Linked DNA regions of Saccharomyces cerevisiae S288C. The protein of the gene in region 1 purifies or fractionates together with the protein of each later gene. This does not show direct contact. Each region holds a gene or a part of one and is shown on either strand. Other genes may lie near its edges.

Evidence for each region.
Region 2: the proteins of SEC7 (region 1) and GFA1 purify together in Saccharomyces cerevisiae (affinity purification with mass spectrometry, with the first as the bait; 2 studies listed by BioGRID). This does not show direct contact.
Region 3: the proteins of SEC7 (region 1) and CSE1 purify together in Saccharomyces cerevisiae (affinity purification with mass spectrometry, with the first as the bait; 2 studies listed by BioGRID). This does not show direct contact.

Annotation. Positions count from the first base shown.
Region 1 is NC_001136.10:796,152-804,261, forward strand, and holds SEC7 (Arf family guanine nucleotide exchange factor SEC7), read right to left. Parts: upstream 6,072-8,110; coding exon 42-6,071; downstream 1-41. Other genes in the region: YDR170W-A (gag protein), read left to right, coding at 7,044-8,110. UniProt on the Saccharomyces cerevisiae protein: Guanine exchange factor that acts as an activator of ARF1 at the trans-Golgi network and is thus involved in vesicular budding and traffic between compartments of the Golgi apparatus.
Region 2 is NC_001143.9:242,590-247,224, forward strand, and holds GFA1 (glutamine--fructose-6-phosphate transaminase (isomerizing) GFA1), read right to left. Parts: upstream 2,785-4,635; coding exon 631-2,784; downstream 1-630. Other genes in the region: YKL104W-A (uncharacterized protein), read left to right, coding at 2,443-2,697; metalloaminopeptidase APE1, read right to left, coding at 3,549-4,635. UniProt on the Saccharomyces cerevisiae protein: Involved in amino sugar synthesis (formation of chitin, supplies the amino sugars of asparagine-linked oligosaccharides of glycoproteins).
Region 3 is NC_001139.9:47,723-53,026, reverse strand, and holds CSE1 (importin-alpha export receptor), read right to left. Parts: upstream 3,476-5,304; coding exon 593-3,475; downstream 1-592. Other genes in the region: transcription activator HAP2, read left to right, coding at 1-296; anaphase promoting complex subunit DOC1, read right to left, coding at 3,662-4,414; karyopherin KAP114, read right to left, coding at 4,568-5,304. UniProt on the Saccharomyces cerevisiae protein: Export receptor for importin alpha (SRP1). Mediates importin-alpha re-export from the nucleus to the cytoplasm after import substrates have been released into the nucleoplasm.

The DNA.
Region 1 (8,110 bases):
AACTAAGCATATTTTAATCTGCTGGACCATTCAACAAAGCCTTAATCAGTAGAAAGGTATAATTCACCAACTCTGCTTAGAAATTGTTTTATAGCATGTCTCAACTCCGTTGGAACGCTCTTATCTAATATTTGAATCACCAGAGCATACATAGCAGGACAGTATAGTCTAAAGTCTTCATCATCAAATTCGTAGTAACCTTGTAATATTTCAACTATCACTGAACGCCAGGCATTGATACTACGTTCCATGGTTCTATCATCCAAAGAAACATAACCCTCTACGACCTGGATGCAAATGGTGATCAGACGAGTTATTAAATCAGCCTTCTTCTCATCATCGTTCAGATACAACTGAAACATAATGTCAAGGAGAACTGCAGCAGCACTCGTTTCTTGTTTCAACAGGTTTGGTATTTTATCAACTACACGAGCCTCTACTAGTCTTGTTCTTAACCCATAATCTTCATTAAAGTCACGAGAAAATTCGTACGATTTCTCCAACAATCTTGTAATTCTAATGGCTTCCTTGTAAGGGATACAGTGGGCAAAATCTTCGTTCTCGAATAATTCGTTGAGCAGCTCTATCATCAAAAGCTGTAAAACACATTTGACAACAATAGAATTCTTGATGTTTATTCTCCTACGTATATCTTCGTTACTTTCGTTTCGTTTCATGTGCTTAGTTTTCTTGGGGATACTTAGACTAGCGGGCTTTGGATTCAATTCGTCCTTTACCGTCGGAACGGAATTGCCATTATTAAGCTTAGTTTGCCCATTGAGTGTTTCAACCATGTCACCACCAACGTCTTCGCTGGATTCTTCTTGATGCGCTCTTTCGACCGTCTCACTGATATTAGAATCGTTCTCCCTTCTGTCGTTGCTATCATCATCTGAGTGTTGGCTGGTATCATTAGTTGTTTGGTGATGAGATACAGATGATTTTCTTCCTTGCTGTAACGGATCATAATCGAACAATTCATTAGCAGTGGTTAAATCAAACAATTTATCGAATACGTCACCTATTTGATTCCAATGGTACTCATTGAATTTAGATACGTTTTGCAATATCAATTGTTGCAGGCAGGATCTCCCAATTCTAGCAATAGTGTCATTTTCTTGACAAATACAGGATACCAGCAGACCCAAAAATCCATCGAGCATTCTGTTCAACGATTCAAAGTAATGCGTAAAAAGGGCAATCAAGTTCCTTAAGGCTTGAATTAACGTGGTCGAAAGCCAAACACTTAAATCATCATGACTATTGAATTGGTTGACTTCCCAATGTTTGGATAATACACCGAAAATAGGAAATAGTAACTTCTTACAAATCTTTTCCCAGAAATCATCATTGAATTTACCACCATATGCCACTAGGGCATCGAACATATAGTTTAATGCACGTGATCTAACTTCTAAGTCTTCAGCTGTCATGATCGTATCATTGAAGCAGAATAACATAGGGAACCACACATCCTGGAATATGTCTTTCCCACGAAGTAAAGCATCGTTATGTTTTCTTTCTTCTTCAGTCTTATTTTCATTGTAAAAACAGATGTCTGCGACGTTCTGAGTCATCTTTCTTAGAGACTCCAAAGCATGTAGAGATAGCTTTTGGAATCTCTTATTTTTGGTGATTTCTCTGAAGACACCAACTAACTCAGAAAAGGCATCTTCTTGAGAGAATACGTTTTCGAAGTGATTTGTCACAATATCATTGCTAACCAGCAATTGCGTCTTTAATACAATGGATTCAGTGCTTGAGCGAGCCGTATATTGTAAGGATTCAAGAATAGGCTTCCAGCCAGATTTGATACTTTCCGATTTTGTCAATATGAAGTTCCTAAAACACTCAATAATCATTTCTTGAACTTCAGTGTTGCCACTATTTTGAACCGTGTATTCAAAAGGTTTTAAAAAATCATGTTGAAATTCAAAACCTGATAATTCCTCAATATCTAAAAATCTCATAGACAATTGACGCAGGGAATCGATAGCGAAAAATACTACTGCTAAGTTAGAGTTTGTAGCAATCTTGTTGAAAGCTTTTCCCATAACAGCCCAAAGCGGCGTCCATTCTAGTTTGATACGATCCATATTGTAGTAACATACATCGACCATTTTTTGCAAGGAAAACATTCTTGGTGTGGAAGCATTTTCAGATGATTCAATTTCTTCTAAAGATACAGCGGTTAAAGCTTTGATAAAATCAACGATAGCATTACCTGATAACTCGGAACTTTTGGTAAATATATTGTCCATCAAAACGACTAATTCACTGGAGGAAATGAATTTAGAGATTTCGGGTGATAAGGTTTGATTATGGTGTTTTTCTTGAGCCAATTCTGTGGGAGTTGCCTTCTTGCCCCAAACATCAAAGAAAGATGTATTATTGGATCTTGATGATTCGTAAGAAACTCTAGGGTTTGCAACACGAGCTTGTGCAACATCTGGAACCGTATCTCTGTCGATACCTTTGGATATCAATTGTAGTCTTTCCATTTGAGACACGACCAGCAAAATGTCCTTCCACGATCCCTCCAAGTAATTTCCTTCTGATAACGCGACTTCAAGAAGAATTACCATTGCATTGACATTTTTAACTTTGATTTCTTCAAGGTTTTGAAGGTTACAAAATTGGACTAACGCACCTACAAAGGAGGTTCTAGCATCATTGATTCTAAAAGTAGAAGCAATTTTAATTGATATTTTCAAGCCTTCTAAACACTTATTGGTTGTGTCAATGTCATCATAATCCTTAAATGGGGGGGTTAGAGCTGCTAAAAAGGACATCCATAGTGTCTCGAAAATTGATTTAACATGCTCAACGTGGGAAGCAGCATAATAGACGTCTGGGCCTCCTTTATTTTTGTTTAAATTCTTAAAGACTAATTCCGTTTTAGATGAAATTTCTTTTGAGACTTGATTATATGCCTCTCTTGTCAAATCACGAGAATTAAAGAAGTTGAAAGCAGATTGCTGTTGTTGGACAAGATTGGTATCACCTGAAAGCATTGCCTGATGCTGTTCAGAAATTAACTTGATTTCATTGTTAGCAATTTCGTTGAACAAACCTTCCAAGAAGTCTCTTGGTAAATCTCTTCCGTTGTCAATACCTTCGTTGTTTTCTAAAAACTCTTGTAAAGACATTTTATTTTTGATTTGTGACGAATGTAAATCAGTATTCAACATGATCAAAGAATACGAAAGCACATATGCAGTATCCGCCTTTGAAAAGACTCCGGGGTTTTGGTCCACAAATCTTTCCGCAAATTTCAGCATGAATCTGTCAATTTTTTGACCTTCTCCAGGCAATCTGAAACTTTGTAAAAATGACCTTAATGCGTCAACAATGGACATACCAGTGAAGTCAAACTCATCAACAAATGCGTGCATTATAGCGATGTTCTTGTCGTCTCCTTCGCCTAGATAATCCCCAACAGCGGCCATGTCGAGGCCTTCTGTTTCTAATAACCACTTGGCAATGGAAATTGGAGAATCATCTTTCAAAAATCCTTTTTTAATAAGTACTGGAATAGCTTTCTTGGGTTTATTGTTGAAAATAGCAATACATTCCGATAAAGCAGTTTTCCTTAGTTTCAAATTTTCAAATTGTGTGGGGTCGTCTGCGTCAATGTTTTGACTGCTCAATGATCTGCTTTCTTCGTCTTCATATGTTGGTTTGAAGTCATCATTACTTGTCATAATAGAAGACCTTACGTCGTTACTCAAAGATGATCTAGATTCTTGACGAGCTGAAGATGTTGTGTTTAGTAATACCTTATTAGCAGTGTGTGTGTTTGGATTTAAAGCTTTGTGAGCCCATGAGCTTAAGGAACGCAAAACTGACACAATGCAATTTAGTGACACCATTTTGAGAGCAAAATCAAGTGGAAAAAGTAAATTGACTTGACCAACATCAGGACTAGAAGACAAGTTGGAAGAAGTCAAAAGGGGCAATTGTGAGAAATTGTAGGTGGACAGGGATTTTGATATTTGTTCATCGTAGTATGATCTTTGAGTCTGAGTAATTTCCACCCTAGTTAAAGCCAATCTTGTCAAATAATCAACAGTTATTTCCATTACATTTGGCATTCCAGGGTTACAATCATAATTCAAGTAAAATTCAACTAAAGTTCTTGGGTCGTTACAAATTCGTTGAATAACACTTAAAAAATATCTCTTTTGTTGGGAGGTGGAAGTGGTTAATTCTGAAATGGGGAAGTAGATTTCTGTTAAAAAAACTGGAATTTCCTTCACGAAATCTGCTCTCAAATTAGCAATCAATAGCCACATAATTTCTAAAGTAACCTCGAAAACTGGAGCTAGAGGCGAGGCAGCATTCCTTGATAAAACAAGACGTAAATATTGTCTAATTGAATCGATAAAGCACACACGCTCCTTTCCTGGTAGAAAAATGTTGTGGGAAAGGAATACGTCAATATGATCTTTGATAATAGAGTAAATGATGTGAAGAGATAAAAGCTTTGACCTGACGGCATGTGACCTCATGTCGAGTTCTGTTTCCAAAGGTTTAGCACATATTTTCGCCATGACTCTAAACACTAAGAACGCATCTTTAACAGCTAGATCTTGGTTAGTTATGGCGATAGAATCAGGCTGTTGAGCGTCCATTAGTCTTTCCTCATCGTCATTCAACTTATCCATATTTTCCAGAGTTAAAGGAGCCGGCGTTTCTGCATTTTCAGAAGCCTCGGAAAGTTCTATGGCGGATTGTTGTTGATGATTTTTTGTCGATAAGGATACTGCTGAAGAGGTACTTTGTTTGAGATCGATTTTATCATACACCGAACTAATAATTTGTGTCAAGGTCGCCTGTGCAATACCTTGATTGGATGGGTTCAACGAAAAGACGAAAACGTTGTAGATTGTTCTGATAGCCTTTAGCAAGGAAGCACCGTGGCATAAAGAACTTGAATCCTCTTCTAAAATGCAACTAGATAAAGCTCTAACGATTTGTAGTTCCACACGGTCATCAGTGCCTTCACCTTGAAAACAGTCTGAAATAGTATCAATTGCAGCGTCTATAATTTTTTGTTTTGGAGGCGGCGTTATTCCATCGGCAGCATCTTGTCGTTGATCATTAGAGGCTAAAGAATCGGGTGGATTCACTAACAGGGTCTCGTCTAGCGATCTAAAAGAAAACAATTTTGACAGGCAATCTAAAGCCAAACTTTGAACTTTGGAGGATTTGGTACGACAGCTTGCCCTTAGTGCTTCGAATACTAGTATTGAATCCACGTAATGTGGGTTATTCGTGGTTTGCGGATCAAATTCCTTAAATTTTTGTAATGTCCTTTCGATAGCCTTCTGAGCATTCGAATTCTTTTTAATGTCCTTATCATTTAAAATTGTCTCCAACGTAGTTTTCACTAAAATTATGGTTGAGTTTGTGTTCGAACCATTTGAAGATAGTGATATGTTCCTCGTATGGGTAGACCTTGGGGCAGTAGAATCGTTGGTGGGAACACTATCTTGATGAGCGATAGCTGGTTCGCCAGCATTTTCCTCTTCTTCTTCTTCTTCTTCTTCTTCTTCTTCTTCTTCTGACCCGCTTTCATCACCAGAGGAGCTGTTTGATGTATTTCCATCGCTTTCATCAGATTCTTCATCTTCTCCAGAGCTACTCTCAGTACTTTCCCCTGAGACTGATTCAGAATCTTCCCCGTCTTCGGAACTGGTTTCGGAACTACTGCTATCCACGTCCTCATCATCCTCGTCCCCATTGTCTTCATCTTCATCTTCATCTTCATCTTCATCTTCATCTCCATCTTCACCTTCATCGTCATGGCGTTTGTCATTTGTATCTTCCGTTTCTTCGGGCGTTTTCATTCCGTTGGTAGCGTCGTTACTTGTTTCTTTTGTTTCTGCCGTACTGCCAGCGTTTTCTGGCCCTTTGCATTTTTGATCTTCACCATTTGTCTCTTTAGCTTCTTCTTTAATAGCATTCTGTGGTTTCACAGACGGATTGACTGAAGAAGCAGTCTCTACATTTGAAGATATTTCGCCATCCCCTTTTTCAGCATTTACTACTGAATTCTGTTCAGACATCAGATATAGTAGCACTTAGACTTGTTTCTTATCTTCTTTAATGGAATTCGGGGAAAAAATGAGAAAGAAACAGTTTAAGATATTACTTTTTATTGGTTCTGGAGAAACTTAAAAGAAATCGAGTATAGCTTAGTTGCAGAAAATATTTTATATTTCTCCGGAAAATGACTTCAATTTCTATTAGTCTGCGTTTATTGAACAATTGGAGAGAAGCCAATGATGCTTTTTAAAGAAATGATGTAAATCCCAACTTTGAGCTTCCTTTCTCGTTGCTTTGTTTTTCCCTCGCCTCGATATTATAAAATTTACTCGGCGCCTTGATAAAAACTAAACGTTCACCTTCTTTCCTGTAGAGGGAAAATAACAATATGTATAAGCCTTCTCCGACATCAAAAAACTGTAAGAGCTTCAAAAGTACTAAAGTGTATATCTTAAGAGCATCGTTGGCTCCACTCTAACACATCAACAAAAAATATCAATGTTGATTTGTTAGAGTAAAAATAAAAAGAGGTCCTACCCGGATTCGAACCGGGGTTGTCCGGATCAAAACCGAAAGTGATAACCACTACACTATAGGACCGACAATTCATGTTAAATCCTCCTTTTTTAGGCTTTTATAAGTTACTTTGACTAGAGATGACTAGAAATGATTATATTACACGCACACACAATACACACATAGTGTTGGAATAAAAATCCACTATCGTCTATCAACTAATAGTTATATTATCAATATATTATCATATACGGTGTTAAGATGATGACATAAGTTATGAGAAGCTGTCATCGAAGTTAGAGGAAGCTGAAGTGCAAGGATTGATAATGTAATAGGATAATGAAACATATAAAACAGAATGAGGAATAATCGTAATATTGGTATATAGAAATATAGATTCCATTATGGGGATTCCTGACCCTCGAGGAGAACTTCTAGTATATTCTGTATACCTAATATTATAGCCTTTATCAACAATGGAATCCCAACAATTATCTCAACATTCACCCATTTCTCATGGTAGCGCCTGTGCTTCGGTTACTTCTAAAGAAGTCCAAACAACTCAAGATCCGTTAGACATTTCAGCTTCCAAAACAGAAGAATGTGAGAAGGTTTTCACTCAGGCTAATTCTCAACAGCCAACAACACCTCCCTCAGCTGCTGTTCCAGAGAACCATCATCATGCCTCTCCTCAAGCTGCTCAAGTACCATTGCCACAAAATGGGCCGTACCCACAGCAGCGAATGATGACTCCCCAACAAGCCAATATTTCTGGTTGGCCAGTATACGGGCACCCATCTTTGATGCCGTATCCACCTTATCAAATGTCACCTATGTACGCTCCACCTGGAGCACAATCACAGTTTACACAATATCCACAATATGTTGGAACACATTTGAACACCCCGTCACCTGAGTCAGGTAATTCATTTCCTGATTCATCCTCAGCAAAGTCTAATATGACATCCACTAATCAACATGTCAGACCACCGCCAATCTTAACCTCACCTAATGACTTTCTAAATTGGGTTAAAATATACATCAAATTTTTACAAAATTCGAATCTCGGTGATATTATTCCGACAGCAACAAGAAAAGCCGTACGTCAGATGACTGATGACGAACTCACCTTCTTATGTCACACCTTTCAACTATTTGCTCTATCTCAATTCTTACCCACCTGGGTTAAAGACATCTTATCTGTTGATTATACAGATATCATGAAAATTCTTTCCAAAAGCATTAACAAAATGCAGTCTGATACTCAAGAGGTAAATGACATTACGACCCTAGCAAATTTGCATTATAATGGAAGTACACCTGCAGATGCATTTGAAGCAGAAGTCACAAACATTCTTGACAGACTAAAAAACAATGGCATTCCTATCAATAACAAGGTAGCATGCCAATTCATTATGAGAGGTCTATCTGGCGAATACAAATTTTTACGCTACGCACGTCATCGATATATACATATGACAGTTGCTGATCTGTTTTCAGACATACATTCTATGTATGAAGAACAACAGGAATCAAAACGTAA
Region 2 (4,635 bases), on another chromosome or scaffold:
ATTTCCAATGCTCCCACTATTTGTTGATACTTGCCTCTTTCAGAGCTATCTGCCTTATGTTGATTATTAGGGTTAATAAATGCTATTTCCTCCCGCAATAATTGTGTAATTTGAACGAAGAATATGAAGAAGATGGAATGGCGATTTTCACTCTAAATTTTAAAAATTGCCTCTTTACAATAGCGAATTTCCTAACCCTTTTTTTTTTTTGTTGATTGCCTATTGCTCGTTCACTTCCCATTTATTTTCTCTCGAATTTCACCAAAAGTTGATGTGGATAATCAATCATCGGGCCTATTCCTGCGGGTAAAACGCAGGGCCCAACTCAGGATAGGGTTTAATATTATTTTAGAGGACTTACAAGAAGGAAGTTATATGGTTTAAAAATTGTAACAAAGTTAGAACACATTTATTTAGCAGGTCTAATTTAGGGCTGCAACTATCTTTTTGGTTATTCATATAAAATATAATTTTTTATTTATATAGAGAATACAAGTGGAATCATCTTTAACGCCAGCTTGTAGTGCGCATTGCAGAATAATGGAAGTTCAAAAATTAAAAGCGAAGGAGAAGTGATAGTAGAAAGACGGATGGGAGGCTGGGGGACGAAGAGAAAGTAAAAGGGTTAATTTATTCGACGGTAACAGATTTAGCCAAGTTTCTTGGAAAATCAACATCAATCCCTTTATTAACAGCCAACCAATATGACATTAGTTGTAATGGAATAATATTAATTAGACCTTGTAAACAATCAACAGTTTGTGGAACTTCTAAGGTTTGCAGGTCGATTGATTTAGATTTTTGCGCCCACACTTCATCATTTTCGTTACAAATAATAATTGGATGGCCCTTTCTTGCAGTAACTTGCTCAATAGAGGAAACTACTTTAGGGAATAGAGAGTCTCTGGTACCAAAAGCAATGATTGGCAAGTTTTCGTCCACCAAGGCCAAGACACCGTGCTTCAACTCACCTGCCAAAACACCTTCAGAATGCATATAAGAAATTTCTTTGATCTTCAAAGCACCTTCCAGAGCAGCAGCAAATTGGTAACCTCTACCCAATAACAATAGAGATTTTTGATCCTTTAATTCAGTCGCACAGAGCTTTTTTATTCTTGGTTCCAGCTTTAATACCTGCTTAATTTGGCCCGGGATTAACTTCAAGCCTTGAATGATTTCAATTCTTCTGTCTATTTTCGATACACGGTCATCTGACAGCGATAGAGCAAACATCACTAAGGCAATATACTGGGAAGTATAAGCTTTTGTAGAGGCAACACCAATTTCAGGACCAGCGTTAATATGAACACCACAGTGGGTGACACGAGAGATAGAAGAACCAACACTGTTAACAATTCCGACAGTTAAGGCTCCTCTTTCTAAACAATAATTTAGAGCCAGCATGGTATCCGCAGTTTCACCACTTTGTGAAACAAACACGCATACATCGTCTCTGAAGACAGGGCATTTTCTGTCCAGAAAGTCAGACGCTAATTCCACACTAACTGGGATATCTGATAATTCTTCGAAGATAGCACGAGTAGCCAAACATGAATGATAAGAAGTACCGCATGCGATCATGATCAGTCTCCGTGCTCTTCTGACAACTGGTAACCATGCCTTTAAACCACCCAATATCACTTTATTATTTTCATAGTCGATTCTACCTCTCATAGTATTGAAAGTAGATTCTGGTTGCTCATAGATTTCCTTTTGCATAAAATGGTCGTAAGGGCCCTTCATGATCTGAGCTAACTCCATCTCTAAAGTTTGAATGGACCTTGTCATTGATGCGCCTACTTCTCTTCTAGATCTATGAATATGTAACTCACCATCGTAAATATGAGCCAAATCGTCATCTTCTAAAAATAGCACCTTCTTGGTATGTTTAACAACAGATGCCGCATCCGAAGAAACAAAAAATTCCACCGGTGTTGGAGATCCATCTTCTGATAGGAAAGCCCTGGATTGAGAATGTCTCAAGTTAAATTCATTGGCGGCAATTGGTAGTAAATTGGCATTTTGGGAACCAGCTTCAAATTCACGAGCTTTCTTTGGGCCCAAGCCAAATGATTTGTTGTTAGATTTCAATGGAATTTCCGGTTGACCAGCGTTTTCTTCGGGAAATTCCACATCCACGAAGTCGACTTTTAGTTTTTTTTCAGATTTGACACCAATCAGTAAAGGGGACCCTTTTCTAGTGGCGATAACCTCATTAGGATAGTGACAAGATTTACATAATAACCCGTATGAACCTTCTAGTTCTAAAAGAACTAGCTTGGTTAATTCGTGGAAATCTAAGTCATGCCCATTTTGTAAATTTGTATTGTATAAATGCAAATATAGTTTAGCAATACACTCGGTATCGGTATCACTTTCGAATTTATAACCTTTGTTAATTAAAAGAGTCTTCAGTTCTCTAAAATTTGTGATGATACCATTATGAACGACCACAAATTGGTCTTCTGGGTCAGATCTTTGAGGGTGACAGTTAACTTGTTCTGGTCGACCGTGAGTAGCCCATCTAGTATGCGCAATACCACAATGAGAGACAAAAGTAACGTCTCTGTTCGGATTTTGCTTAGTAATCTCCTCTTTCAAAGCACTCACTTTACCGATTTGCTTATAGATGAAAGTAGAATCAGCTTCGTCACCATCGATAGCAATACCGGTGGAATCATAGCCTCTATATTCTAATCTTTGTAAACCATCCACTAAGGTGTCGATAATTTCTCCTCTGGATCTTTCCACTAGATAATTGCAGTAACCAAAGATACCACACATTTTTTTATAAAAGTTGCTGTTGATTTGCTCGAGAACTTATTGCTTATTTGGCCCTGATAACTATATAAGAAAAGAAATACAGTTATTCCTTGTTTATGCTGGCTTTTTGTCCACTTTTTCTCAACTATATAACTATGATGTTGGAAAGGACACCGGTTCTGTAACTTTGCAGTGAAAATAAGTGTGATGGATGACTGAGAATGCTTTCTTGTAAGCGAAAAGAAGTACGTGTTCCAAAAATAAAGCAGAAAGGCGAAAAGGGTCGAATGTAAGACACTAAATAAATATTTTAAGAAGAGGAAAAGTCGCCTCAGAAACGCTAAAATGCATCCGATTTCCCAAAGAGGAAGTCTAATGTTTTCGATTTGTGAAAAAAAGATAAAAATCGAAGAAAATGTAGGGAGCCGCGCGTTACCCGGATTGATATTTGAGTGATCGACGGCGTCACAAAAGAAAGAATGCTTGGCTAATCAAGAAAAGTATGTGGTTTGTTTCATCTAATACGGCTGTCAAGGCCCACATTGGTGTTCAAATGCATTTTTTATAGTTCGTGGTTACTGTTAATATTCTTTCCTAGTAGAATGTTTGGGGTTTAGGTATTTTTGATGTTTTATTTATAAATAGATATTTATATCTTGACGATTGTGGTGTTTTATTTTTTTTTTTTTATACATTTTTCTTTTCTTCCTGATTCGAAATAAAAGTATTTTTAGAAAAAGGATAAAGAAACAGAAATCAAAAGAAATAAAAAGAGTGTGGCAAAATCACAACTCGCCGAATTCATCGTAGACTGATCTCCAGTGCTTGAAAAATCCGTTGAAGAACTTAACACCTAATCCGACATCCTTGGACCCTGTAGCAGCTCTGATGCTGTGCATGGACAACTGTGCAATTCCCAGGTCTATGGTACGAGCACCTGTTTGAGAAGCCAATGATGGGCCGATAGTACCACCTGATCTTGAGTTGTTTTTGATTTGGAAATATTGCACTTTGTCTCCATTGCGGCGTGCTAATTCTTCTACTAGGGCAGTTCCTACGACATCTGTGGCCATATGACCGTTAGGATCCAGTGATAAAGTGATTCCGACATTAGGCACTGGAAAATGATTCTTCAAATAGACTTCAGGAAAGTTTGGGTTGTAGAGGTGGTTGACGTCTGCGGACAAGATGATGGAATTAGCCCAAACCGTATGCAAATCGACCGGTTTCTTAGTGAATGCAGAAGAACTGCGTTCCACCACTGACTCCAACAAGCCACCTTTTGCGCCTTGTCTTGTCAACGATCCGATTTCTTCATTATCATACAAAGTGACAGTAGAGAATAAATCTGATTCCTCGGTATTAACATCCTTAGCGTAGCAAATCAAAGCAATCATTGCTGCGAAACTACACAACCTGTCATCTAGACGTGGTGCAAAAAGGAAGTGTTTACCAATACCTCCAATGGTACCCTTTTGCACATCGAATAAGTCTAAATCCATTTGAATCAATTCGGACACTTCCACACCGGCTAATTTGGCAACGTACCTTAACAGGTGGATGCAGTGTTTGCCAAATAAGGGCGATTTCTTTTCATCATCCGTGGGAGGTTCATTACCTTCCTCATCCGGAGTGGGGAAGCCGATGACCGGGATAGTTTGGTCCTCTTTATCAAATGGGCCTTCAGCAGGTTTACCGAAATGGGGAGCCAAGGAAGGAATTCGACAAACAGGTAGGGGTGTAGAATCAACCAAGGCGCTTTTAATTTCGTTAGTGCCCTTCTTCTTGTAAAGAAGGCGACCACCAATACCTAGGTCTCTGTCTAGCCACAATTCATTCAGTGTACCTCCATAGGGAGCAACAGCAATTCTT
Region 3 (5,304 bases), on another chromosome or scaffold:
ACTACCGAATTTTGAAAAGGCGATATGCAAGAGCTAAACTAGAGGAAAAGCTACGAATATCAAGAGAACGAAAGCCATACTTACACGAATCTCGACATAAACATGCGATGCGAAGACCTCGTGGTGAAGGTGGGAGGTTCTTGACAGCCGCTGAGATCAAAGCCATGAAATCGAAGAAAAGTGGGGCTAGCGATGATCCTGACGATAGTCATGAGGATAAAAAAATCACTACTAAAATAATACAAGAACAGCCGCATGCTACTTCCACCGCAGCTGCAGCAGACAAAAAAACATAATTTTGTAATATTCCAATGTTAATATCATTCCTAAAAGAACTAAAAGTGCCCTCTTATACCACATGGTATCCATATGGCCTATTTAATCTGAATCAATATGTATATGTACTTTTACCAATCTCGTTTCGTTTCGTTTCGTTTCATTTCTAACAGACCTATGTACTCCGCTGGAAAAGAAACCATATTGCGATCGTATTTACGTGCTTTTCTTTTTTCATTTTTGCTTACTCTATCTACATATAAACAGCTATTCAAAAGAGCTCCATTTTCATCTATATATAATTCTCTACACCATGTTAATTACCAACTAATAATTGATTTAATTTTACTTGATTTTCTTGGGTCAATTGAGGCAAAATGGTATTTAAAAATGTATTCCCAGAGATAGCATTATATTTGTTTAGTGCTTCAGCAACATATAATCTCACACCATTATTGACATCGATTTCAGGCAAAGGATCGAATGGTTTTTCGCTAATACTAACCAACTTACTGAAATGAGAACCAAACGTGGAGATTTCCTCCAAGTTATCTAAATCAACATAATCGTTTTTCAAGTTTGCAATACTTTGTGATGATGCTGTCTCTATAATGGAATTCATTGTGCTTGAAATCAAAGTTGGATATTTGCTTTGGAAAAATTGGCCGTTTATAACCATGTTCAAAACACCAATTAATGCAATTTTACGATCTAGCAGGTTACCAATAGTAGGTAATGTGGTAATAATAAAATTACCCCATATTTGTTGAAAAAGCCCATCTTGCACTTCGTCAATAAAGTGGATCAAAAAATCAGAGCCTAATTTATTAGATATCAAACCAAAAAATACCGTTAATTTTTTAACATACCTTTCTGTTTTAGAGTTCTGTAATCTTTGTAATAATAAAACTGCGATTTGTTTAATATATGGTCTCAAGCGGTTCATGTCGATTAGAAGCATGATGTGCTCTAATAAGTCAAACCCATGAACTTCATAAGCCTTTGATGCGATCAATCTTTGAAAAATACCTAAAACAGGGACTAGATCGGGGAAGATCGATGAATCTGTCTTTATAAAACTCTTTAGTAGCCTTGTCACGGCAGGAATATTACCTTTCAATTCCCATACATTTGGTGCTAATAAAGGTTGTGCCAACGGCTTGATACTTTCTGGAATTGTTGCAGACTGCTCAACAACAAATGCGATGATTTGGAACACATATGGAATGAATTCTTGAATATCCTCGGAGAAAACCGTTAAAAATGTTGGCATCATAGAATCTACAAGTAGTGGTAAGTTTTGTCTTTGAGTGTAATTCAAGATGGCACCAATAGATTCAAAAGTGTAATGAGTAAATCTTGGATTTGATGGGTTCTTTGCCATTATCGTTACAATTTCAATAAATTGTGCCAACAACTGAGGAAATAAAGGTTGAATGGAATCTTCTGACGTCTGCAAAACTCTAAAGATTGATCTCATTAAAAATTCGTTTTCAGCTAGTTTTTCAGGGGAGCTGCCATGCTTCAAGATTAATGCAATAAGATTTTTCAAAAGAATTTCTGTACTATTCGAAATATCTTCCTTATGAAAAATAAAAGCAGGAGACGTATTTGATTCTCTAATAGTCAAAATTTTTTCAATAGTAATGGCAGCATACGTGTAGACAACATATTCATCTGTTTGTAAGAAGGTGGCCAAAATGGGCATTAGTTCAATCAACTGAGCTTTGGTCAACTGATTTCTGAAAGTGTAGATATATTTTATGGCATCCACTCTCAAAATAATATGAGGAATATTGTTGGAAGTAAGGTCCGGGGCAATTTCCTTGGTGAAAAAATCTACAACATTTAGTAAGTTGTTTGTGGATGAAACACCGGCATTGGTAATATTCCCATTAATGGCCAATGCAGTGAATAGATAAATATAAAGATCTTTAAATTTCCAATTTTTGGATGGATCACTCATGTACTGGTCAACGAACCCTTTCATATGCGCCAAAAAAATATTTGTGACTAACACTTCATTTTTTTCCTTCAATTCCTTCAAGAAATCAGTACATGCCCTTCTTCTAGTGTCGGTATCTGAACCTTCCAGATCTCTACGGATATATTCAATTGGATCGTCTTCAAAAAGTTCAACATCTTCCTCACGTAGTGTAACATTTGGCAGAATGATTTGTTCTGTGATATTATTCATGGCAGATTCGTTGTTGAATATTTCAAAGTATTTTGGAATACGTGTTACTGCAGTCAAAAATGACAAGGACTTGGATACTAAGATGTCGTATTTAGGTTGGTTTGAAATTGAGGTCAGAAGATTCCAAGTTATTTGTATGAATTCATTGATCATAGGTCCAAAGACATCTTCATATCTTGTTGTGTACAATTGAACCAGCTCCTGGATAGAGGACTTTACTTTTATTAGGACAGACGCATGTTCAGTTTCGTCAGGGTCTTCCAATAAAGGATTAGAATATGACAAATACTTATGGAAGATACCCATACCCACTTGAATGTTATCCTCAAAAAACTCTGGTATATCTTGACAATTAAAATCGTAGTATAGTTTAATTAATACTAGCAATACATCAAATAAAATATTTAGCGATGCCTTGTTATTTTCATTCGCTGTTATCTGTTCATCGACCGTTTTCAATAAGTTCAAAAATGGAGCAGTAAACACGTCAAGAACCAATTTAATCTCCAAAAAAAGTTCATCTGATCTAAATAAAGGTCTCCATCTTTTAAAAATAGAATGTGCCACTGTAAGGACACCTTTATTCGTCACCATATCATCATTACTCAATCTGGAAGCTAAATCACTCAAAAGTGTAGGCCACCTATCAGGAAAATCAGAGTCAGCAATACTGGAAATTGCCTCTCCTATTTGGACCTGCAAATTATTTGGTAGACTGATCATTAAAGGAACGATTTCCTTTTTGATCAGTTCTACGTTGTTAGCCGGCAGCAAATGATTACCATTTTCATCTACCCACTTGCGCTTGATGAAATTTTTGAAGAACAAAGCACCTGCTAATCTGGTGGATAACGGCAGGTTTGTGGAAGCAATAACGTGCAATAAAGTTAAACCGAATCCATCTTGCGTCTCCAACTGCCTCAAATTTCTTTCCGAAGTTTTAGCGGTAGAAGCAATAACTGATTCGGCCAGAAATTTAGCTACGGTTTCCAAATCGGACATCCTACTATTTTCTCTTCTACAATTGAGTAGCAATAAACAGAGCGGGTCCTCTTTGCCACTTTTTGATCTTGTGTTTATACTACTTTCAACTTTTTTTTTATTCCATAATCCCTGCAATTGAAGTGAAAAAAAAAAAGCAAAAGGCAGGGTAATAGCAAGGAAGAAAATATCATAAACGGCATATTATTAACGTAATATAGCATCCTGGAAGACATTGTTAGTTTCTGGGAGGGTCTGTGCCCACTCATGGGTATCTTGATGTGGCTCATTAGATGGAACATATAGCCTTATGCCTCTCAGATGTGTATCTTTTCCGTTTTCATGGTTGACTGGAAACAAAAGCCTGATGAATTGACATTTCAGCAGCTGGTCGTCCTCCCTATTATCTAGAAACCTTAGTGCCACCCAGCCATTCACATTTCTCACTTCAAGCATCTTATAAAACCTCGCATCAGAAGGACTATGCCCCGCGTAAACTTTCACTAAGCTTGGAGCATAGGACTCGTCCGCAATCATCGAAAAGAATATTGCCATGACACAGATGTCCATTCTCTTACTAAACATAATGTCCAATTGGTGTGGTTGCCCTCCATCGCTCTGCCAAAACGTATCGTAGTTATCATCTAGAGCAAAGTCCACAGGATTCCCCAACTTAAAAGAAGAAGGCTTCCAAAGCGCTAAATGTGTCACGTTGATCATCCTTGCCGAATCCAATATTTCAATACCTTGGTGGAACATATGTTGCAAGTTCTCCGGTGTAGGATTCTGATACTGAATCTCTTCTTGGAACCCATTCACGTAGAGATCTTTGGTTGCCGCATCCACAATCCTGTCATCCAACACCAACACTGAAGGTTTATTATGGCAACTCTTAACAGGTTTGATAAGCTCTGAGGGTGCTAAATGGTCCAAGACTTTGTTTATTCCAATCGGGTCCATTATCTGACTTCTAAATCTCGTATTATTTTTGCCACCTTCTGTGGTCAGTTTATTTAACACTTTCTTTCTTTTATATAGACGGCGCTTATTTTGCCGCATTTTTTCTACTCTAACTACTTTACATCTGATATCTCCACGGCTTATGTATATAAGCTACAAAAGGGCTTCTGAAAGAACTTTACGTTCACTGTCGGATAGAGTCTCGTAAATACAATGGAAGCCACTCACATCTTTGCTTGCAACCTCTTTAAAGAATCTTACCAGTAGCTGAACAACAGATTCCTTCACGTCCATGAGTCCCGTTATATCGTCTGAATCGTCGTCTGCTTCTTCATCGACATCATCATCAATATATTCTTTCAACTTATCGTAATCGAGTACATCATCTACATCTTCCCAATCATCATTGTCGTCATCTTTATTAGCATTTACCACTTCTTGCTTAATATCGCTTGTGATCAATTGTTCTGGATTCGGTTGTTTACTTTGGAAGCTTAACTCAGAAACAAACAATTTAATGATCTTGGTATAAAGTGGAACTTGTACATACCTGTCTGGCATTTTCTTAGCCATTGATCTTGTAATGATCAGGTCCCCTTCGTATGGTATCAAGTTACCATTGACAACCACTTTCTGTAGCCTTTTGTCGTTCAGGAAGAAAAGGTTGCTCAAAGCAACGATATTTTCTTTGATTCTTTTTTCACCTCTAATGACTTCAAAGGCTTCTATCCATTTTCGCATCACCAATGTCAAAGCATCAGTATTGTCAATTTGGAAACTAGACAAAAAATCCACCGTTTGTTTAGGATCATTACACGTTAAGAAGCATAATACAGAAAGAAGGTTTTGCTCAGTAGAAATGTTTTGTGTCTTAATTAACCTTACCACAA